Linked DNA regions of Saccharomyces cerevisiae S288C. Each later gene encodes a partner of the first gene's protein in a complex. Each region holds a gene or a part of one and is shown in the gene's direction. Other genes may lie near its edges.

The links.
Region 2: RET1 (region 1) and RPC10 share a complex: the UniProt entries of both Saccharomyces cerevisiae proteins name them as parts of the RNA polymerase III (Pol III) complex.
Region 3: the proteins of RET1 (region 1) and RPC40 are in contact, whole or in part, in a cryo-EM structure (PDB 7Z0H), measured with the Saccharomyces cerevisiae proteins. Residues at the interface, in NP_014850.1 of Saccharomyces cerevisiae: Phe718 (codon at 5,411), Thr729 (codon at 5,444), Tyr730 (codon at 5,447), Lys775 (codon at 5,582), Ser776 (codon at 5,585), Asp779 (codon at 5,594), Arg780 (codon at 5,597), Gly781 (codon at 5,600), Arg784 (codon at 5,609), Glu786 (codon at 5,615), Arg788 (codon at 5,621), Arg901 (codon at 5,960), Asn903 (codon at 5,966), Arg905 (codon at 5,972), Lys927 (codon at 6,038), Gln928 (codon at 6,041), Glu929 (codon at 6,044), Asp930 (codon at 6,047), Phe933 (codon at 6,056), Asn934 (codon at 6,059), Asp935 (codon at 6,062), Gln936 (codon at 6,065), Gly937 (codon at 6,068), Val992 (codon at 6,233), Gly995 (codon at 6,242), Phe996 (codon at 6,245), Asn997 (codon at 6,248), Tyr998 (codon at 6,251), Lys1001 (codon at 6,260), Asp1002 (codon at 6,263); in NP_015435.1 of Saccharomyces cerevisiae: Val5 (codon at 3,259), Ile7 (codon at 3,265), Glu8 (codon at 3,268), Tyr9 (codon at 3,271), Asn10 (codon at 3,274), Arg11 (codon at 3,277), Val12 (codon at 3,280), Thr15 (codon at 3,289), Thr16 (codon at 3,292), Ser17 (codon at 3,295), Thr61 (codon at 3,427), Ser62 (codon at 3,430), Asn65 (codon at 3,439), Arg68 (codon at 3,448), Arg69 (codon at 3,451), Ile72 (codon at 3,460), Ser73 (codon at 3,463), Val91 (codon at 3,517), Gln93 (codon at 3,523), Asp94 (codon at 3,526), Glu95 (codon at 3,529), Val96 (codon at 3,532), His99 (codon at 3,541), Arg100 (codon at 3,544), Leu103 (codon at 3,553), Gly214 (codon at 3,886), Asp215 (codon at 3,889), His216 (codon at 3,892), Ala217 (codon at 3,895), Thr224 (codon at 3,916).
Region 4: RET1 (region 1) and RPB5 share a complex: the UniProt entries of both Saccharomyces cerevisiae proteins name them as parts of the RNA polymerase III (Pol III) complex.

What each region holds. Positions count from the first base shown.
Region 1 is NC_001147.6:728,866-736,716, reverse strand, and holds RET1 (DNA-directed RNA polymerase III core subunit RET1), read left to right. Parts: upstream 1-3,259; coding exon 3,260-6,709; downstream 6,710-7,851. Other genes in the region: NPT1 (nicotinate phosphoribosyltransferase), read left to right, coding at 1-280; tyrosine protein phosphatase PTP2, read right to left, coding at 540-2,792; mRNA-binding ribosome synthesis protein NOC2, read right to left, coding at 7,073-7,851. UniProt on the Saccharomyces cerevisiae protein: DNA-dependent RNA polymerase catalyzes the transcription of DNA into RNA using the four ribonucleoside triphosphates as substrates. Second largest core component of RNA polymerase III which synthesizes small RNAs, such as 5S rRNA and tRNAs.
Region 2 is NC_001140.6:383,938-388,607, forward strand, and holds RPC10 (DNA-directed RNA polymerase core subunit RPC10), read left to right. Parts: upstream 1-3,295; coding exon 3,296-3,508; downstream 3,509-4,670. Other genes in the region: CHS7 (Chs7p), read left to right, coding at 1-551; DSE2 (Dse2p), read left to right, coding at 1,573-2,550; DCD1 (deoxycytidine monophosphate deaminase), read right to left, coding at 3,851-4,670. UniProt on the Saccharomyces cerevisiae protein: DNA-dependent RNA polymerases catalyze the transcription of DNA into RNA using the four ribonucleoside triphosphates as substrates.
Region 3 is NC_001148.4:744,728-750,081, reverse strand, and holds RPC40 (DNA-directed RNA polymerase core subunit RPC40), read left to right. Parts: upstream 1-3,246; coding exon 3,247-4,254; downstream 4,255-5,354. Other genes in the region: RNA-binding ribosome biosynthesis protein MRD1, read left to right, coding at 1-826; serine/threonine-protein kinase DBF20, read right to left, coding at 1,082-2,776; GLD1 (Gld1p), read right to left, coding at 4,509-5,354. UniProt on the Saccharomyces cerevisiae protein: DNA-dependent RNA polymerases catalyze the transcription of DNA into RNA using the four ribonucleoside triphosphates as substrates.
Region 4 is NC_001134.8:547,051-552,215, reverse strand, and holds RPB5 (DNA-directed RNA polymerase core subunit RPB5), read left to right. Parts: upstream 1-3,206; coding exon 3,207-3,854; downstream 3,855-5,165. Other genes in the region: SLI15 (Sli15p), read left to right, coding at 1-1,112; HSP70/90 family co-chaperone CNS1, read right to left, coding at 1,288-2,445; RIB7 (2,5-diamino-6-(ribosylamino)-4(3H)-pyrimidinone 5'-phosphate reductase), read right to left, coding at 4,022-4,756; U4/U6-U5 snRNP complex subunit SPP381, read right to left, coding at 4,965-5,165. UniProt on the Saccharomyces cerevisiae protein: DNA-dependent RNA polymerases catalyze the transcription of DNA into RNA using the four ribonucleoside triphosphates as substrates.

The sequences.
Region 1 (7,851 bases):
TTACTCCCATGCAGCTAAAGAGAATGGAATGCTAGCCACATTCGGTATTGGCACAAACTTTACTAATGATTTTCGTAAGAAGTCAGAACCCCAGGTTAAAAGTGAGCCGTTAAACATCGTTATCAAACTATTAGAAGTAAATGGTAATCACGCTATCAAAATTTCTGATAACTTAGGTAAAAATATGGGAGATCCTGCCACTGTGAAGAGAGTGAAAGAGGAATTGGGATATACTGAACGAAGTTGGAGTGGTGATAACGAAGCGCACAGATGGACCTAATTATTCAGTTATGGGTACTGACATCTCTGCGATTTTATAAATATGACATATAGATATGCAGCTGATATCGCAAAAATAAAACATTATATGAAGTTGCGAGTACGTAAAAAAACCCGTGTTTCTTTATGAGGAGATTGTTAATTGTAGATTTATTTTTTTTTATTTTTAATGTATCTATATAATGAAATAAAATGCAACGAGAGGTTATGTAATTTATCAAAACGAAAAGTGTTTGTATAATAGGAGAAAAACAATTCTATTAACAAGGTAACGCGTTCTTTATCTGCTTTTGCAGGGCAAAATAATTTAATAATGCCTCATAACAAGCGATATATTGAGTTAGATTCTGTACCATTGAAATCCTTTGCTTTCTTAATTCATTCACTATGATAAAGATAAGGTCCTGAGTCATATTCCAAACATCAATCTTGTTTGAGTGATTTGTTGTAGGTGAAAGAATACTTAGTAGGAAATCCAAGGTAACGAAAACACCTGTTCTTCCACACCCTGCAGAACAATGGACTAATAGTGGCGATGAATTTGCTGTATCGAGATGTAACTCACTATTATTATCATCTATCAAATCAGGCTTGCAAACATCCTTTTCGAGGCTTGTAATAAAACTTTGCGGGTTAAACAATAACGAATTTTTGACTTTGTGTAGTTTAATGATGTCATTCATATCTACGCCGCATGAATCTAACCAATTCTTGTATTGTAATTGGTAAACAATAAACGGCTCGGATACAGCCATGGTAATGGAAGTAAGGTCACCATTATGCGGAAGGTCACAATCTTGACTGATATTATCATTTTGTGGAGCTGTTTTCTTGACTTGAAAGACTCTGAGAACACAGCCATTAATATTGCAAATATTCTCCCAGGTGTTCTGAAGTTTGATAGTGTGGTTGGAATATGACAGATTATTCCAGTAAATATCCCATTTTCTTAAATTCAATTCATCGTCAGAATTCAATGATATTATTACTTTAACTTTATTTAAAGTAATAACCTTCCAAAAATCATCCATCGTAGAAGGAAGCGGAGCTTGGGTAGCAATATACTTGAAATCAGGATTAATTTGCGTGAGCTTCAAATAGTTCGCATTGATATAGTCGTTCGGTTTGCAGGAGTGGTTTTTTGCATCTACGGGACACATCGGATATGACTTATCTGTTTTAGTTTCGGTTGTGGATGCTTCAGAAACTGCAGGTGGTTTCGGGGAGTGAGGTAACTTTACTCTTGAATGTTCGTAAGGTAAGATATTAGAATATCTATTCTTAGTAAAAGACTGAATTCCTTCAGTAAGTTCGTAATCATTTATTGGTGACATTATAGTATCATCGGAAGATAATGGTGATGGCGAAGAAGATGTGTTGTTTTTTGGTATAATTAATTTTAGCTTTTGATTTTTCTGTATGTTGCTTTTCAAAGAACTTTTATACTGTCGTTGCAAACTAGTTAAAGAATATAATTTTGAATCATCCGTGGATTGCGGACCCCTCTGCTTTTGTGATAGCTGCTTTTGATGTAAAGGCTTTTTCTTGAATTTCAGGCATTTCTCTAATCTTTGCATTTCAAAATTTTCTAAAGTTTCAAAATTGTTAAAGAGTTTCTTTAATATTACCTTTTCATTTTCTTTTACGGAGCAGAATTTTAGCCAATTCGGTAAAATCGTGTCGTTAGGTGCTAAGTCAGCAGGCATATTGAATTGGAAAAACTTTTGCAAAGAATTAGGAGAATAATGAATTAGATCCTTTTTCAGAGACTGTAAAAATATTTTATTTGAATCATTGGGTGGAGGTATGTTTATTCTTAAATTTAAAGTTGACCTTGAAGTTAAGTTTACATTCAAGTTCAAATCCAATTTGGGCAAGATGCAATTTTTCTTATTTTTTCCTAATGAGGGGGCCTTGCTATCATTCAGAGAGCCTTCGAGAAGAAAGAATTTCAAATAAGGAGATGGAAAAAAATGGCAGATGAACTTTTTAAACTTCTCAATGAGGCAAAAAGTTGTCTTTAAACAACTCGAAATTCTGCTAAACGAATCACTGAAAATGAAAATATCATAATCTTTGATGATCTTTGTGAACTCAATATACTTTTCATCAGATCCAAGGTAATTCTTTAGTAAGTTCTCGAACGGGTAGTTCGACCTTTTCACCAAAGTGCTGGGTAGCGGCAACGATAAAACTGTGATATCCTTAGCATTGGTATTGCCTAAAAATGAGTTGGTATTGGGGCCAGCGCACAGATCTAGTAAAAGTATTTTAGAATGCCTATTAGAGTTGTTCCGCCGTATGTTAACGTCGTCCAAATCTTTGCACGGTTTAATTTGATTTTGGGGAAGGTTAGACAGATTTATAGTTTCACCTCTATAGACGGGCATTTGACCAGGTGTTCTAGTTTGATTGACTTGTATGTGGCCCTTTTCCGATATAGCGGAAGAAGCCATTCTATTGCCGTTATTGTCTCTTTTGCCATTACGATATTGCTGTGCTATGCGATCCATCAATAGCAACGTCGATCCTATTTTATTGTAAACTATTAATAGCACTGGGGATCGGACCTAGGCTTCCAAACTAAGCGAAAAGGGCTGTGCAAAGCGGAAGAGGGGAACCAGGGGAATCGGGTCTGTCAGGTTGAGTGATCTCGTCTTTCTTGTCAAAGGTCGCAGCGCGGTGTTCAAAGAAAGATGATGATTCAAAGTTGGCACTTCCCAAAGGTTTTAATAGGTGCATTATTTTTATATATTCCTTATTGTTAGGTGTACTACACATAAAGATATAAATAGTTCCATAAAGCAGGCGCGTATTTTCCAGATCACGTCGGACGAAATTGTAATTGTGAGATGAGCTGAAAATTTTTCGATCTATGCTTAAGTGATGATATATGGACAAGTTAGGAAAGAATTAAAGGGAGTTTAAAGTGTTGATAATTGAGCGTTTTAATCGCTAGGGACTTAGTGCTTGTTGAAAAATGGTTGCTGCGACAAAAAGACGGAAAACTCATATACATAAGCATGTGAAAGACGAGGCTTTTGATGATTTATTGAAACCAGTATATAAAGGTAAGAAACTAACTGATGAAATCAATACTGCTCAGGATAAGTGGCACCTTTTACCAGCATTCTTGAAGGTTAAAGGTTTGGTGAAGCAACATCTTGACTCATTTAACTACTTCGTTGATACAGATTTAAAAAAAATTATAAAGGCAAATCAATTAATTTTGAGTGATGTTGATCCAGAATTCTACCTGAAGTACGTCGATATTAGAGTGGGTAAGAAGTCCTCTTCTTCGACAAAAGATTATTTGACTCCGCCTCATGAGTGTAGGCTTAGAGATATGACATACTCTGCACCAATCTACGTGGATATAGAATACACTAGAGGTAGAAACATTATTATGCATAAAGACGTGGAAATTGGTAGGATGCCGATCATGCTGAGATCTAATAAATGTATCCTATATGATGCTGATGAATCGAAAATGGCTAAATTAAACGAGTGTCCGTTGGATCCTGGTGGTTACTTTATTGTTAACGGTACCGAAAAAGTAATTCTTGTTCAAGAACAATTATCCAAGAATCGTATTATTGTGGAGGCAGATGAGAAGAAAGGCATTGTTCAGGCCTCCGTTACTTCATCTACCCATGAAAGAAAATCTAAGACTTATGTCATTACCAAAAATGGCAAGATCTATTTGAAGCACAATTCCATCGCTGAAGAAATTCCTATTGCTATTGTTCTCAAAGCCTGTGGTATTTTATCAGATTTAGAAATTATGCAATTGGTTTGCGGTAATGATAGTAGCTACCAAGATATTTTTGCAGTCAATTTGGAAGAATCTTCGAAATTAGATATTTACACACAACAGCAAGCTTTAGAGTATATTGGTGCAAAAGTAAAGACAATGAGAAGGCAAAAACTGACTATCCTGCAAGAGGGTATAGAGGCCATTGCTACCACGGTTATTGCACATTTGACTGTGGAAGCCCTTGACTTTAGAGAAAAGGCTTTATATATTGCCATGATGACGCGCAGGGTGGTGATGGCAATGTATAACCCTAAGATGATTGATGATAGAGATTATGTTGGTAATAAACGTCTTGAATTAGCAGGCCAATTGATTTCTTTATTGTTCGAAGATTTGTTCAAAAAGTTTAATAATGATTTTAAACTAAGCATTGATAAGGTCTTGAAAAAACCAAATAGGGCTATGGAATACGATGCATTATTGTCAATTAACGTCCATTCAAATAACATCACCAGCGGACTGAACAGAGCTATCTCAACCGGTAATTGGTCTCTTAAAAGATTTAAGATGGAAAGAGCGGGTGTTACACATGTTCTTTCCAGACTATCTTATATTTCCGCATTGGGTATGATGACAAGAATTTCTTCTCAGTTTGAAAAATCAAGAAAAGTTTCCGGTCCAAGAGCATTACAACCTTCTCAATTTGGTATGCTTTGTACTGCAGATACTCCAGAAGGTGAGGCGTGTGGTCTAGTGAAAAATTTAGCATTAATGACTCATATTACTACAGATGACGAAGAGGAACCTATAAAGAAATTATGTTATGTTCTTGGTGTAGAAGACATAACATTGATTGACAGTGCATCCTTGCATTTAAACTATGGTGTTTATTTGAATGGTACTTTAATTGGTTCAATCAGATTCCCAACAAAATTCGTTACTCAGTTCAGACATCTGAGAAGAACAGGTAAAGTGTCGGAGTTTATCTCAATTTATTCAAATTCTCACCAAATGGCAGTTCATATTGCAACAGATGGTGGTAGAATTTGTAGGCCATTAATCATTGTTTCTGATGGTCAATCTCGCGTGAAAGATATTCATTTACGCAAATTATTAGATGGTGAGTTAGATTTCGATGATTTTTTGAAACTCGGATTGGTGGAATATTTAGATGTCAATGAAGAAAACGATTCTTACATTGCATTGTATGAAAAAGATATAGTTCCCTCGATGACACATTTAGAAATCGAGCCATTCACAATTTTAGGTGCTGTTGCTGGTTTAATTCCATATCCACATCATAACCAATCCCCTCGTAACACATATCAATGTGCGATGGGTAAGCAAGCGATTGGTGCAATCGCCTACAATCAATTCAAGAGAATAGATACATTATTATACTTGATGACTTATCCACAACAGCCAATGGTGAAAACCAAAACAATTGAATTGATCGATTATGATAAATTACCTGCTGGTCAAAATGCTACGGTTGCTGTCATGTCCTATTCTGGTTATGATATTGAAGATGCTTTGGTTTTGAATAAGTCATCCATCGATAGAGGTTTCGGCCGTTGCGAAACACGTAGAAAGACAACCACTGTTTTGAAAAGATATGCGAACCATACCCAAGATATCATCGGTGGTATGAGAGTTGATGAAAATGGAGATCCTATCTGGCAACATCAATCTCTTGGTCCTGATGGTCTAGGTGAGGTGGGTATGAAGGTCCAAAGTGGACAAATTTATATAAATAAGTCAGTTCCAACTAACTCAGCAGACGCCCCAAACCCAAACAACGTAAACGTCCAAACTCAATATAGGGAAGCTCCGGTAATATATAGAGGTCCAGAACCTTCTCACATTGACCAAGTTATGATGTCTGTTTCGGATAACGATCAAGCTTTAATCAAAGTTTTGCTAAGACAAAACAGAAGGCCAGAATTAGGTGACAAATTTTCTTCTAGACATGGTCAAAAAGGTGTTTGTGGTATTATTGTAAAGCAAGAAGACATGCCCTTCAACGATCAAGGTATAGTTCCAGACATTATCATGAACCCTCACGGTTTTCCATCTCGTATGACTGTGGGTAAAATGATCGAACTGATATCGGGTAAAGCTGGTGTATTGAATGGTACATTGGAATATGGTACTTGTTTTGGTGGTTCTAAACTTGAAGATATGTCTAAGATTTTGGTAGACCAAGGTTTCAACTATTCCGGTAAGGATATGTTATATTCAGGTATAACAGGTGAGTGTTTACAGGCTTACATCTTTTTTGGCCCCATTTACTATCAAAAGTTAAAGCATATGGTCTTAGATAAGATGCATGCAAGAGCTCGTGGTCCAAGGGCTGTTTTGACACGTCAACCAACTGAGGGTAGATCTAGAGATGGTGGTCTGAGGTTGGGTGAGATGGAGAGGGATTGTGTAATCGCGTATGGTGCTTCACAATTGCTGTTAGAAAGGTTGATGATTAGTTCAGATGCTTTTGAAGTTGATGTCTGCGATAAATGTGGATTAATGGGCTATAGTGGTTGGTGTACTACCTGCAAAAGTGCTGAGAATATTATTAAGATGACTATTCCATATGCAGCAAAACTGTTATTCCAGGAATTATTATCCATGAACATAGCCCCAAGATTAAGATTGGAAGATATCTTCCAGCAGTAAGAAATCATATATCTTGTACTAAATTTTGCGTTATGTTAGCAATCATATCTATTTCGTGAGGAACTTTAAGAGAGTTGAACGATTTCGAAAATTATATAACAGTAAACCGTACTTCTTTCATTTTTGTACCTTGCTTTACATCATTACTTTTTATAAGATCCATCGAACGTTTGACGTGTTTTCTATCCATAAACCGGCCAAAATATAAAAATATCCAGCTGACAAGAGAAAGCTTGGAGTGCTCACATGTTAGCACATGTGAGCACAATGATATATACGCTTTAAAAAAGACTTTTCTTTATTTTACACATTTATAGACTTAACTATTGAATTCAAGACAAAAAATCAAATCTTGCTGAGTTGTTAAGCGTCTGACATTTCAACATCTTCGTTGTCATCATCACTTTCCAGACTGTTTAATAATTTTGCTTCTTCTGTTTCTCTTTCTTTGTCTTGTTCTTCCATACTTTCTCTCATTAATCTGGCCTTTTCTTCCTTAACTTCACGTTGTACTGCAACATAAGAACCTAAAGGTGTTTTATTCCAAGCTACATCATTCAAAAATCTTGAAACTTCAGATTTGTTTGTTGGCCCAAATTCAACATCTGATCTCTTTTCTTGGATGAATGTGCTGTTTTGGTTCAATTTTTCTACAACAGTTGATAAACGTTTGTTAAGTTTGACATTAGTTGAAGTCTTGATGTAACGGCGTAAAGAGATAATAACCGGTGTTACAAGTTCAGGAAATGCAATGTTTTTACAGTACAGAGCAAAATAATCGCCCAATAAGTCCACAAACTGTTCTGACAAACCCTCTTGGTATATTTTTGTATTCAGATAAGCTTGCGTACATTTGATGTTGTGCTCAAAATCGAAAGCAGCCAAGTTAGGGCTCTTTTTGGGTGCCTTAGTGAAAGCCGTTGAGGTTAAAATTTCAGAAAGTAAAGGATATATTGGAATAAAAACACCACTATTTTGAGAAAGTCTAATAAGTGATTTAATCAAATAAAATCTTAATGGGAAGAATTGTGGTGTTGGGATTAATCTGATTACACCCAAAGTAACCTGAACCAATGGGTAAATTAATTGTCGTAAAGGAGATTCACTGCCATTTTCCTTTTCTGGTTGACAAGCAAACGATA
Region 2 (4,670 bases), on another chromosome or scaffold:
AAATAGGACTGGCGGGTGCATGTTGCTGGGCCTTATTGATAATCGGGTTTTTAGGTTTCAATTTATGGGAAGATGGGACTACAAAGTCCATGCTGTTGGTCCGTGGAACGTCCATGCTAGGATTCATAGCCAATTTTTTAGCCTCTATTTTAACCTTCAAAGCATGGATCACCGACCATAAAGTAGCAACAATGAACGCTTCAGGGATGATTGTCGTCGTTTACATAATAAACGCCATTTTCTTATTCGTTTTCGTTATTTGTCAATTACTGGTATCCCTATTGGTAGTTCGAAACTTATGGGTCACAGGAGCTATCTTTTTGGGGCTATTTTTCTTTGTAGCAGGCCAGGTATTGGTTTATGCCTTCTCTACACAAATTTGTGAAGGGTTCAAGCACTACTTAGATGGCCTCTTTTTTGGAAGCATCTGTAATGTGTTCACATTAATGATGGTTTACAAGACTTGGGATATGACTACCGACGACGACTTGGAATTTGGTGTAAGTGTTAGCAAGGACGGTGACGTGGTGTATGATAATGGATTTATGTGAAATGCTTCTTTTTTCTATTACCATATATAGAAAATAGGTGTATACTATTAGTTTAATGTAATAAGCAGGACTATGACAAACCAAAGAGTGAAAGTAGCCGTTTCCACGTTTTAACGGCTTGTGTACACTTTGACAGTCAATCAGCGTAGTGACTTCTTTTATCAGCGGAAACAACCATATCCATAAAAGAAACGTGATGGTCGTTCCCGTAGTTTATTAAGTAAGATGACAAATTATCCTTCTTTAGTCAATTGAAAACAAAACTTCTTAATCTGTTTCCAATGTTTTAAAGTCGCTCATATGTTCATGACTACTTTTCCATGAGAGGGTTCTACGAAAAGCATCATCTTATTTTCGCAACGCTGCGGGTTTAGGCCTTTCCGCTGGTCTCTTTTCTGTTTACAGTTCTGCCCGAATGTAAACAAATACTTTGCGAAAAGTAAATAATGTATTCTGAAAAAAAAAAAGAGAACTGTGAACAATGCTTGATAGTTGTAGGAATATCTTAGAAGAAAGGGGATAGATTATCTGGAAAATCGTTTGAATAAAATAAGAACCAGTAATTCATTCGTTTAAATTGGAAAAACAAAACATAAAAGAACCAGCAATGTCTTGGTTGCCTGTTAATGTAAAAAGTTCTCCCAAAAGATGACAGGAAACTCGTTAACTCATACTCGGTATATAAGAGGAAACTTATCTAATGTTTCATTCATTCTTCCTCTTCTGCTTATTCGATGTCTATTGAAAAACTTCAAGTAAACCAGCAATATCGACTTCCATTAAGTAGACAGCGAGCCTGAAACAAAGAATATACTGTTTCAATTCCAACTAAAGCCACTCCCTCAAGCGTTATTATTTTTTGAATTATATTTTCGGGTTTTAAGCTAACTCTAGTCATTCCTTACTACATTTTATTGTAACTCTTCAGTAGAGCTAACCACAGTCATTCCTTAATATTTTTTAACACAGATCTCTTTCACAGAGTAGAAATAAAGCCACTCCTTTAACAAATTACAAAGAAATGAAATTTAATTTTTCTACAATTTTCAATATCTTATTCTTTTTATTCACCTTAATTGAAGCCAACAGCAATGGGGAAACAGTCAAACTTATTACTTCTGATGGTATTGTTTACAGTTATGCTGTCTACACAAAGACTCTTGCGCCGGCAAGGGTTGTGGTTAAAACGATTTCATATACTACTACAAGGGTATATCCGATTACTTTAGCTAATTCCGTCGTTTCTTCCACTACTGAAAAGATAACAGAGGTTTCAACGGTGTCAGCTTCAGAACAAGTTAGTGCTACTCAAACAAACTCATTGGTTTCTACTTCTACTGTTTCCACTATCAGTCCAACGATTTCATCTGGTTCTTCAACATCCTCTAGCTCTACATACGATATCGAATCATCTCAAAGTATCGAATCGTCAGGTACATCTTCCGCTACAGCCGAACCATCTGCGTCTTCAGGTTTTCGTTTGACTTCTAGTTCTGCTTTTGTTTCATCTACTGCACCTTTCTCTTCCCAACTTTCTTCATCTTCATCTTCTGAAACATCATCCTCATCATTTTCAACATCATCATCATCTGCCCCTCTTTCCTTAACTTCTTCTTCTTCTTCTTCTTCTTCTTTCGCCACTATTATTACCTTGGCACCATCGAGCTCAAAAAGCGGAAACTCTCAACTAACTTTGGCGTCATCGTCTTCCACTTCCGCAGTTGAGTCATCCCAAACAGGGTCCACTATAGCAAGAACTACCTCTACACTGGTACCCTCTTCTAGCGTAGATACAACGTCTAGAGCAACGACATCCATGCCATTAGAATCGTCTTCTACGCAATCGATATCCGTCTCCAGCTCGGATGGCACTTGTTACGTTTTTTATGATGATGATGACTACTATAGTACTGTCTACTTAACTAACCCGTCTCAATCCGTTGATGCCGCCACCACTATAACTAGTACAAACACAATTTATGCTACGGTTACCATTTAGCGCTTAGGCATAATGGTGGTGCATTCTTTTCTATTTGTTTTCTCAGGCGTATTTTTTCCATTATTTTTTGTTAAAAATAGTAAAAAGACAGTATTATTTATTCATTTTTCCTCGTGTTGTTATAACGACTAAGTTTCCTAATTTCTTTATTTTGTTTTTTTCTCATGATCTTTTCATTTTGTAGTTTCAACTATTATATACAATGTGTATACTATAACTTAATTTTATTAGTTACCTCTTACTAAGGATACTGATTCTTCCCCACTCATTTCATGAATTCATCACAAGTCTTTAGTATTTTTCATATGGAAATTACATCACCTATATATATCAAAATGTTCCGGCGAGTACATTGTCAGAATCTACAGTTTTTCCTGATATGAGCAGTGATATGGAGAAAGAGACACTAAATAAGAACAAAATATTGCCGTAGATTTAATGATTCAATCATGTGTGTCAAATTTGTTCTCCATTGCATCTTCCTATTTGACATTTGTCTCATGACCACGACATTGTACATTACCAGGTAAGGCTACAATTAGCCTCACCGATGTAACGTTATATAACGCTGCGGTCGTAGAATATGATTTTTCTGAATTTTAATTTTTTTTTTTTTTTTTTTCATTTCTTTAACATCTAAAATAGATTTTAGAATCAGAAAAGTGAAGAGTATTCCACATCATCGACTTATTCTACCAACATTTAATAAGAACGTACCCAAGAATAAAAGTCCACAAGTATAACAATGTCTCGCGAAGGGTTCCAGATTCCAACAAATTTAGACGCCGCAGCTGCAGGTACTTCTCAAGCTAGAACGGCAACTTTGAAGTATATTTGTGCTGAATGTTCTAGTAAATTATCTTTATCCAGAACTGATGCAGTCCGTTGTAAGGACTGTGGTCATAGAATCCTGTTGAAGGCTAGGACTAAGAGATTGGTTCAATTTGAAGCTAGATGAATGGAGAGACTGAAAACCATAATGGGTTACCGGGGCAGAATAATACGAAATAAAGAACCTAGGTTTTCCAAGGTTTTTGCAATATATAAACTTGTGCTTGATTTAAGTTTATGCAGCACTTTTCTTCCAGCAAATTCTTTATGTTTTTTTAAGGGAAAACGTATATCACTTAGAGATTATATTAATGAAAAAAGGTGTATACAAATGTATAATAATAATAGTATATAAGAAAAGTATTCGCTATTTATAGTGATTTTAGTTTGTACAATGTACTGTATTTTTTTTAAATGTAGTATTTTATATATATGTTACATTAGTTCGAACTGAAAAGGAACTTATGAATTAAATCATCACAATTCTTGGTTCTTCCGTAAAGCTGAATTGCCGGACGGTTATTCCCGCATTCTTCAAGACCTTGAAACTTTCCTCGTCCATTCTATAACTTTGGCTATAAACTACTTCACTGATGCCTGTTTGAACAATCTTTACAGAACATGTTAAGCAAGGGCAAGTATCACAGTATAAGGTCGCATTTTGACCTACACGATCCCTGCCAGCTTCCAGTAGTGCATTCTCTTCTGCATGTAAGCATAAGCAAGTGTGCAGATTTCTAGAATCACCGTCATTGCAACGTGGGCAACCGCCATTGAAACAATTTGTTAAATGTCGAGGAGTCCCATTATAGCCAGTAGCAATCACTCTGCATTCTCTCACAATCACGCAACCAACTCTACGTTTCATGCAATTGGAACGAGATGCTGCTAGTGTGGCTAACTTCATAAAATAGCTATCCCAACTAGGCCTCATTAATGGAGCCATTTGTTTCTCTTTGTCATCGAGAATCTTTAATTGTGTGGTAATGTTATTAATCAAGCTCTGTCTCCTTCCTCTGCGGTCCTCATTAACTATTTTAAATCTCAAATGGGATTTCTCCCTTAATTTGATGCCTTCAGGCTGAAAGTCATGTTGATCAATGGCTTGTATTATTTGTTCTAATGATAAGCTTTCTGCTTGAGTCGTTTTCCTGTATAATGCTACCCTTGTAGTGACAGGAGCGTCGATAGAAAGATGAACAAAAAATGGTCTCTTTTCCAGTTTCTCCAGTAATGATAATTTTTCTAGGAATATAACTGAATTTTTTGTGTAATTTTTCGTAGCATAA
Region 3 (5,354 bases), on another chromosome or scaffold:
CGATGATTTGATAAATAACACTTCTGCAAAAGAAGAAGAAAACCCGGTAGAGGTAAAACCTTCATCAAATGACTTAATGGAAGCAAACAAGGATGTAACTGAAGGGTCATCTAATGCTCATGATGAAGACGTTATTGATGGTCCAACTGTCTCAATTTTCATAAAGAATCTAAACTTCTCCACGACGAACCAAAATCTTACTGATAGGTTCAAGGTTTTCACTGGTTTTGTTGTTGCCCAAGTGAAGACAAAACCTGATCCAAAACATCAAGGCAAGACCTTGTCAATGGGGTTTGGTTTTGTAGAATTCAGGACCAAGGAACAAGCTAATGCCGTGATAGCTGCAATGGATGGGACGGTAATCGACGGCCATAAGATTCAATTGAAGTTATCCCATAGACAAGCATCTCAGAGCGGTAATACAAAGACTAAATCCAATAAGAAAAGCGGTAAAATCATTGTTAAGAATCTTCCATTTGAAGCTACTAGGAAAGACGTTTTCGAATTATTCAATTCTTTTGGTCAATTAAAATCTGTTAGAGTTCCAAAGAAGTTCGACAAGTCTGCAAGAGGTTTTGCGTTCGTGGAATTTTTACTTCCAAAGGAAGCAGAAAATGCTATGGATCAGTTGCACGGTGTCCATTTACTGGGCCGCAGATTGGTAATGCAATATGCAGAAGAAGATGCAGTTGACGCTGAAGAAGAGATAGCCAGGATGACAAAGAAGGTTAGAAAGCAAGTTGCCACTAATGAGATGGCTGCCTTAAGAAATGGGGGCGGTAGAAAGAAACTGGATGTGGATGATGAAGAAAACGAAGGTTTCTAGTTTACCCTATCAGCTTATCGTATTTTTCTTTCATAATTTACATTTTATTTGAATATATAAATCATATTACTACTTTAATAGCATAAAACTCTTCAAAACATCTCATCCCGAAAAAGATTACTAAACTTAAAAATTACATGTTGCCTTGGTTTCATAATTTTGGTAATCATTCAAAATGGAAAATGTTAGCACATCTTGTTGCTGTTGTCAATGTATCTGTTATGCTATACAAAATTAAATTGTAGGGACGTAATCTTAATAAAAAGTTGAAAAAGGGTCTGAATGTTCTGAACCATTGTAAAGTATCCCGCTTGAACCTTGTTTTCCATCTCTATGCCTAAAAGTAAATCCAACAAGCTTGGAATCAACGGCAGAGTCATCGACCATTGCAGATAATTTGTTCTGTCTTTTGAAGACATCTGCATATTTAGCCATATCTTCTTCATTTGTGAAGTCATCGAAATAACCTGCATCCGTTTCATCATCTAATTGAGGAATAAATGGTGGAGAACTTGTTCTTAGGGTTTCAAAATTGATCTCTGCGAAATAAGACATTTTGCGAACTTGCTCAAAAGATCGTACTCTGTTGATGGGGTCAGCTATTAGTCTTGTAATTAAATCCCAGGTTCTATCTGAGAATGCTGCTCTTCTATCCTCAGTACGGGGCCTTCTTAAAGTTTTTTTCCAATATCTTAAATTCTCGTAAGTTTCATTAGTAGAAGAACCACTAAAAGGTGTATATCCAACCAAACTTTCAAAAAGCATACAGCCTAATGACCAATAATCCACTGTAAAATCGTATTTTTTACCTTCCAGAACTTCTAGGGCCATATAATCAGGCGAACCGACCATAGAGTTAGCGTAATTAATTTCTGTCTTCCTCATGTTATGATATATTTTCCTTCTATCCTCGATAGACCTTTCTGTGAAAGCAGGAAATTCCAAATTCTTTACTTCTTCTAAGCGTATTTTCATGCTTTCGATTCTTTCATTTGATACGGTCCCTGCTGCTAGACCAAAATCGGTCAGCTTGATATGCCCTGTAGCATCAATCAAGAAATTCTCCGGCTTTAAATCCCGGTGAGTGTAACCAAGTTCATGCAACGCGTTCACGGCACAAAACATTTCGCTGATATAGAACCTTGCGTGACCGCTCTTCAATATCCTTGTATTTATTAACAATGTGCGAAAATCACCACCAGGTACAAATTCCATTGCTAAATATAGGCTCTCTGGATCCTGAAATGCATAAAGCAACTTCACAAGCCAGTCAGATCTAGTTGTGGTTAGTATGTCCCTCTCAGTAAGGACGTGATTCGTCTCGTTTAGTTTGAATAAAAGTTTCTTGTTTAATATTTTCAAAGCACAAATTTCATCACTGTCTTTTTTTTTTGCAAGATAAACTTGCCCATAACCACCCTGTCCAACTTGTGTCAGTATCTGAAAATCCTTGTGCTTAGGTTTCAACCTCCTTTTTCTCAGTACTTCGTGTTCTCTTTGCAAATACAAAGCCCATTCTTCATTTAAAACCTTATTAGAAACGTTTTTGACACTTCTTTGCTGTTCAAGATATCTTAGCACCTGCTTCGTACGTTGTCTTCTGCTAATAACATAATCAAACATGTCACAGTAATAGTCGAGAAAGTAAAGTTGGCATACATTAACAACTCTCTGGGTTTTACTTTGGGAAGCACGCTCGTGAAAATCCTTGGGTAGCTTCTTCGGTGAGTGATTCAATGAAATGCGATTTTTGAAGGTATCTTGATCATCTGAATCACACGGCTTATATGATCTTGGAAGTCCGGGAGTTAATCTTCCATTTTCGCTCTTTCTAGCAGGCCTATATTGCGCCTGTGGAGAAGTAGGTTTAGGAATATTCAAATCATAGAACCCTAAATGACTCATATTACCAGCCAAATCATCTACCTCTCGATCACTTCGTGAAAACATGACTACCGAATTATTGTTGAATACGATATTCTGGGTTGCTAATCACTATTGGAGTTACAAGTTTGTTGCGACAATACAGTTCATCATGATCTGTGATCTAGCCGACTACAGGTCCATTGATTTGTGTTTACTCTCAAAATCTTGTATGAGGTGTATGGGTTAATTATCCATTCAAAGACAAAAATTTATGATCTTGGTGTTTGTATATAAAAATTAGTCAGAAGACATGCTTATTCTTGATTTTATATTAATTAGAAAGAGATGTTGCATTATCCCATACTTGTCGTTTGTCTTCTGCTACAATACATTGTGCTTTATGTTGCAAATATTTATTAATTCCGTTTATAGTGACTTGGATTCACAAAAATTTTGTGAAAAAATTATTGCGATGAGTTGAAAGAAAAAATTTCACTCATATTATGTAGAAGAGCAGGTATCAAGTGCATGAAAGTAAGTAGGTGAAAGAAGATATGTCAAATATTGTGGGTATTGAATATAACCGTGTAACGAATACAACCTCCACGGATTTTCCTGGTTTCTCGAAGGATGCAGAAAACGAGTGGAATGTGGAAAAATTCAAAAAGGACTTCGAAGTCAATATTTCGTCATTAGACGCAAGAGAGGCAAATTTCGACTTGATAAACATTGACACATCGATTGCGAATGCCTTTCGTCGTATAATGATTTCCGAGGTTCCATCCGTGGCTGCTGAATACGTCTATTTTTTTAACAATACATCCGTTATCCAAGATGAGGTTTTGGCTCATAGAATAGGCTTGGTTCCATTAAAAGTTGACCCTGATATGCTCACATGGGTTGATAGTAATTTGCCGGACGATGAAAAGTTTACGGATGAAAATACTATCGTTTTGAGTTTGAACGTGAAGTGCACAAGAAATCCAGATGCTCCAAAGGGATCTACTGATCCAAAGGAACTATATAACAATGCCCATGTCTACGCCCGTGATTTGAAGTTTGAACCACAGGGCAGACAATCTACCACTTTTGCTGATTGTCCGGTTGTTCCAGCTGATCCTGATATTTTATTAGCTAAGCTAAGGCCTGGTCAAGAAATTTCGTTGAAGGCACATTGCATTTTAGGTATCGGTGGTGATCATGCTAAATTTTCACCAGTTTCCACCGCTTCTTATAGATTATTACCTCAAATCAATATCTTACAGCCAATCAAAGGTGAAAGTGCCAGAAGATTTCAAAAATGTTTTCCCCCAGGTGTTATTGGTATTGATGAAGGTTCAGATGAAGCGTATGTCAAAGATGCTAGGAAGGATACGGTTTCCAGGGAGGTTTTAAGATACGAAGAGTTTGCTGATAAAGTTAAATTAGGAAGAGTGAGGAACCACTTTATTTTCAACGTAGAAAGCGCTGGTGCCATGACACCAGAAGAAATTTTTTTCAAATCCGTCAGGATTTTAAAGAATAAGGCTGAGTATTTGAAAAACTGTCCAATTACCCAATGATCCTACTTTGCATACTAATAAAAAAAACACAGTTTGAGAAAAATATTAAATACTTAACCTCAGGGTCTTTATCTTTGTATAATCTTTTCTTCTAGTATTAGTAGAATTGGCAAATCCTACCAAAAAAATACAAACCCATGAATCGTCATAGATAAGGAAATGTAATAGAATGATATATGTAAATGTAACTCTCTATAAAATAGTGCCGATAACAGTAATATGCATTACCCCTTATGGACTACATATATATACTATTAGACAGAATTGCTAGCATTCTCATTGTTGTCATTAATATTGCCGTCATTTAAAATGGCATTCATGGTTTTATTTAATGGTATTCGTGCAACTATTACAGAGCCATCGTAGCCATCACTATTTACAGGTTCTAGTCTTTCTGGCTCTTCAAAATCTAAATCTGCCAATACAACACATGTTAGTGAAAATAAAGTAAACTGTACAATAAGTATGCTAAATTCGAACATTACTAATCCAAGATTGCCGGAAAAGTTGCTCTTTGGTAGCCGTTCTCCGATCATCTGTAGAAAAAGCCCACCTCTTCTCTCACCCAAAAGTAGACCATCTGAATTGGAAAAGGGTGAGGGAGTATTCTTAGGGCCATCGTCTACTGGCTCGCTACCACTCAGGGGTTCAAAAAAATCAATTGGGAATAGGATTGTTAAGATAATGAAAAGCATATTCAACGATAAGCAACCATGAAATAAAAACTTCCGGATTTGCTTTTTCATGGACACAATAGCGGTATCATCATGGTCTTGTTGCTCAGCTTCACTAGAAGAATTATAAAGCATTTCTGTTCCAAACATTCCGGGAAACCTGATAGATCTTCCGCCTGGAAGTGTTGCAACCCCCGTCGTGTTATTATCTGCACCGAGGGTCGCTAGCCTACGTAACTTGGCATCACTTGGAAAAGGAGAACTTATGAGAGATTGCACTATTGCTCTTGTTATAAGTGTCCAGACGGTACGATCATACTTGATATATTCCAATGATATTAAAACATACCCGAGAAAGCTCAAATTATTCACCAAATTTCTTTGGAAGTTTCTTTTTCGTAGTTCGTATACTCGTTTGTTTCCTAT
Region 4 (5,165 bases), on another chromosome or scaffold:
CAATCGATTTAACAGGCTCCCCCATGAAAAAAGTTTCTCAAAAGTTTAAGTCAATAAACTCCACGGATACTGATATGCAAGAAGCGTTAAGAGATATATTCTCAGTAAAAAATAAAATAACCAAAAATAATTCACCCAAAGGAAAAAACTCTCGAAAATCCTCTATTCCGAGGTTTGATAAGACTTCTTTGAAGCTAACGACACACAAAAAGCTAGCAATCATTGCAGAACAGAAAAAGAAGTCCAAACACTCTAGTGATGTTCATAAAACTGGTTCAAGACCGCACAGTATTTCTCCAACAAAAATAAGTGTCGATTCAAGCTCGCCATCTAAAGAAGTTAAAAATTATTACCAAAGCCCTGTAAGAGGTTATTTGAGACCAACAAAAGCGTCTATTTCGCCTAATAAAAATAAAAATTTAACAACGTCGCAAACGCCACATCGTTTGAAAATTAAAGAGAAAACATTAAGAAAACTTTCTCCGAATATTGCTGACATCTCCAAGCCAGAGTCTCGTAAATCCAAAAATTATCGGCTTACAAACCTTCAATTACTTCCACCAGCAGAGGCAGAACGAGATGACTTAAAAAAAAAGTTTGATAAAAGGTTATCAGGAATTATGAGGTCTCAACAGGAACATCATCGGCGTAAACAAGAGAAACAAAAAAGGATGTCGCATTTGGAACAAGATCTAAAAAAGCAAACAAGCTTTAGTAATGACTACAAGGACATACGTCTAAAAGAATCTTTGGCTCCTTTCGATAATCATGTGCGAGATACCATCAACAAAAATACTGCATTTAGTACCGACAATATATTGGCCACAATAAATACAGTTGACCATCGAGAAATAATCGGAAATGTGACCCCAAAGATAGCCTCTGTCAATGATTCTTTACCAGAGATAAATACTGATTCTGAAGATGAGGCTAGCGTAACTTTAGCGGCATGGGCTAAATCCCCGTATTTGCAAGAGCAATTGATAAGACAGCAAGATATAAATCCACAAACTATCTTTGGACCAATTCCGCCTTTGCACACCGATGAAATTTTCCCAAATCCTAGGCTAAACAGGTTGAAACCGCGTCAAATTGTGCCCAAAAGGTCTTGAATTCGATTACCCCAGAAAAGAAAAATTCAAACTGGTTAACATTAAATCAAGTACACTTTAAATACTCTGGTATTCCCCCTGCATTACGTATATCGTTCACTTTCTTTACTTTTCCTTCTTGCTTTGTTATTTCTATCTACAACTTTGCGTTACATATTTTTAACTATTTGACACTTCACACAGATCTTCTTTCTAAGGCTTTTTGCTTATCCCACTTGGAAATCCACCCTTCACTTTCTACCTTTGGCACAATATATATTTTCAAAGCGTTATCGAACAATGGTACATCTGGCGACTCTTTCTTCAAGATATCGTGAAATGTCAGTTTCTTACCAGCTTTAATCAAACCACCTGCCTTTGTTTCCATGAACACCAACACTTTCTTTGGTGTGAAGTTTTCCTTACCTTCTTTTTTGAAGCGTTCTTGCGGCCCTTCCAAAACTAGGTCAACAAGTTCTTGCACAGTAGTTAACTCACTTACTTCACCTACAAAATCAAATTCATCTTGCGTGGGGTACATAATTAATGCGGGATAGATCAATTGAGATTCAAAATCCATTGGGTCTTCTAGCCTTATTTTACCCTCATTAAGTAACTCTACTGGAGAGTGAGTTTTGATGTTAGTTATGTTTCTCAGCGTCATTGCGCTCTCTAACATAATTTTCTTGTTTTCACGTTCCTGAGCTTCTCTTTGCTGTTTTTCTTCTTTTGCTTTCAATTCTTGTTCTTTTCTATCAATCACTGATAACATATTCAAAATTGATTTGTTCTCTGGGTCAATCCTTTGATTGGCAAATGTTGCGGCTGATTTGGCCTCCTCCAACTTGTTTAATTGGAAAAAAGCCTTGCTTGTACGATAGTAGCACTTAACATTCTTGGGGTTAATAGTTAGAGCTTTACTGCAGTCCTCGATACACCTCCTGTAATTTTTCAGCTCTAACTCACATGCCGCTCTATTGGCATATAGTGACTCATTTATTGATTTATCTTCGCATTCTACAGCCAAGCCCTTTGAGTAAAGTTCCCTTGCATCCTTGAATCTTTTTGCTTTGTATAGTTCGTTACCTTGCTTCTTGAAATTTTCAGCGATTTCGTGTGGTTCGCCTTCATAAGCTAATGCCTTTAAAGCTTCTAACTCCACGTTTTCACCACCTGCACCGTCTGTTTCATCCAACTTGGTCATGAAAAAAGGCATTCTGTTCATTTCTTTCAAGATTTCATCCGATGTTTTATCTTTAAATTCGGATAGTTGGGGTGGAAGTTCAGGATCACCTGGCCCTGGCACATATTTTTGTGGTTTGGTATATCCTCCATTTGCGTTAACGGAGCTCATTCTAGATGCAAAACCAATTTATTCTTTTCTTTTACTTGCTAGAATGTAGTGCTCAAGACCTCACTTTTAATTCAATGCTGCTTTTGAATTTAAGCTCATCGCTCTGAAAAGTGCCGGAAATTACACATATTCTTTTTTTCTTTCTTTTTTTTCCACCTTTTTCCTCACTGCGTTAAGAAAGAGATGAGGTGAAGTTATTTTGTTCTGTGTACTATAATCACACATTACACAGTTTTCTGTGAAACTGTACAAGGTGCCTAAACAGAGATACGAACGCATACGCTTTTAGTATTTAAGTCTTTAAGCTCATTATCCGCACAAGTAAACTTGAGAACACAGACTCTCTACATATAAAGTGCCAGATATCTTGGTAATGCTCGGTAGGTGGATTAACGTACTCTTATCATCAACCGAGACTAGAAACCGTATCAATAATTTATTTTATATAGAGCAGAGCATCTGATCGCTAGTTAATATGCAAGCATTTAAAATTAAAGTGGCAATGTATTGTTGTTGTCCTCTATTCGACTCCTAACGGAGGCCTTTTTTTAGCAATGGCTGACCGCGGAAGGAAAAATTTTTCTTTTCTCTTGAAAAATTTTCAATCATATATATTATTCAAAACGACGCAATTCGGTGAGGAAGATTACAAACGTTGCTAACAAGGGTCAACAGATCACGAGCCAATTTGAATTCAAATTAAATTAGTAGGGGATTTACAAAATTTGTGCGCAGGTGGATATTACTAATAAGCTAAGACAATGGACCAAGAAAATGAAAGAAACATCTCAAGATTATGGAGAGCATTCAGAACAGTAAAAGAAATGGTTAAGGACAGGGGTTATTTTATCACTCAAGAGGAAGTCGAATTGCCATTGGAAGATTTCAAGGCCAAGTATTGTGACTCCATGGGCAGACCACAACGTAAAATGATGTCCTTCCAGGCAAATCCAACAGAAGAATCTATATCAAAGTTCCCAGACATGGGCTCCTTATGGGTAGAATTTTGTGATGAGCCTTCCGTTGGTGTAAAGACAATGAAGACTTTTGTTATACATATTCAAGAAAAAAATTTCCAAACAGGTATCTTTGTTTACCAAAATAATATTACACCAAGTGCAATGAAATTGGTGCCTTCTATACCACCAGCCACCATTGAAACTTTTAATGAAGCTGCCTTAGTGGTTAATATTACTCACCACGAATTGGTTCCAAAGCATATCAGATTGAGTAGTGATGAGAAAAGAGAGCTTTTAAAAAGGTATAGATTGAAGGAATCCCAATTGCCAAGAATTCAAAGAGCTGATCCTGTAGCCTTATACTTGGGATTGAAAAGAGGCGAAGTAGTTAAAATCATAAGAAAAAGTGAAACCTCTGGTCGTTATGCCAGTTACAGAATCTGTATGTAGAGTGGCATTTGGATTTACCCCTTTCATATAATATAAAATAACAAGAATATGTACAATTAGAAATAAATAATCTGCAATAAACCAATCACTAGTATGAAAATTTGAAAGGCGCGTTTTTTTCACTAATTTCAGAAAGAAATTACACAGAAGGTGGAGTTCTAACACTATTAGTCATCGGCCAGTCTCGCACAAAGCACCACATCGGTAATGCCCTTCCACCATGACATATCCTTTAAATTTACTGTTTGGGGTGGGCTAACTTCGGTGCCTGAGCTACCCAGAAATGTTGATCCAATAGTTATTATAAGACTGTTGACAATATCGCTCCTCAGCAACAACTGATTTATTACATTGGCACCTCCTTCAACCATTACTGACCTTATATTGAATTCTTCTTTTAATATCTCAAACAATTTCTTCCAATCGACCAATTTCGTAGTATCATTTATTGGACAAATTGCGTAGTCTACATGTTGTTCTTTTATAATGGGCTCACTTGTGACAACAACGATTGGCGGCTTACCCTGTCGTTTAATAAAAAGTTCTTGCATTTTTGAACCATCAAATCGCCACTTTTGCTTTGTATCTATTATTATTGGCCTTGGGGAATTTGCAGCCGGATCGGGACCCCATTTACAATTCAATCCAGGATTATCAGCTAGCACTGTTCCACTTCCTACGAGTATTCCATCGTGATGATGTCTCAAATAATGCGTCATTGTTTTGGTCTCGGGATGTGAAATTGTAGTCCTCACTCCAGGGCCCCTAGATACTCTCGCGTCGAGCGATTGAGCATAAGTTAGTGTGACAAAGGGCACAATGGTATTTTCCGTTTGACCAGCATTCGGTAGATAGTTTTGCAGAAATTGTGGTAAATCTTCACACAGTGGTGTCAAAGACATATCTTCTAAAAATGTTGATAGTAATACAAAGAAGCTACCAATAGGTTGGTACTGTATTTCTGCTAGATTGTTTCATCGTATCCAAAGCCAGATGTAATGGTTCTGCGAAAAAATTTGATATCTTCATCTTTGCCTCTTTTTTCTGTTTCGGGATTTTCCCGACATCAACTAACTGAAAGGCATGTGGGTTTGTGTGTGTGATGCGGTGTTATATAACCGAATATTCAGTTTCTTCGTAATCTCTACTATTCTTGCCTAGGTCACCAAATTCAACATTTTTAGTTCTTGTAATCTTGTAACGGTTGTTATTGTGAGATTTTTCTACTTTTTCAGCCGATCTTTGTTTTTTGTGATCAAGTTTCTCTTTCTCCTTGTCCAAGATAACGTCGTATTTGGTATTCCCATCTTT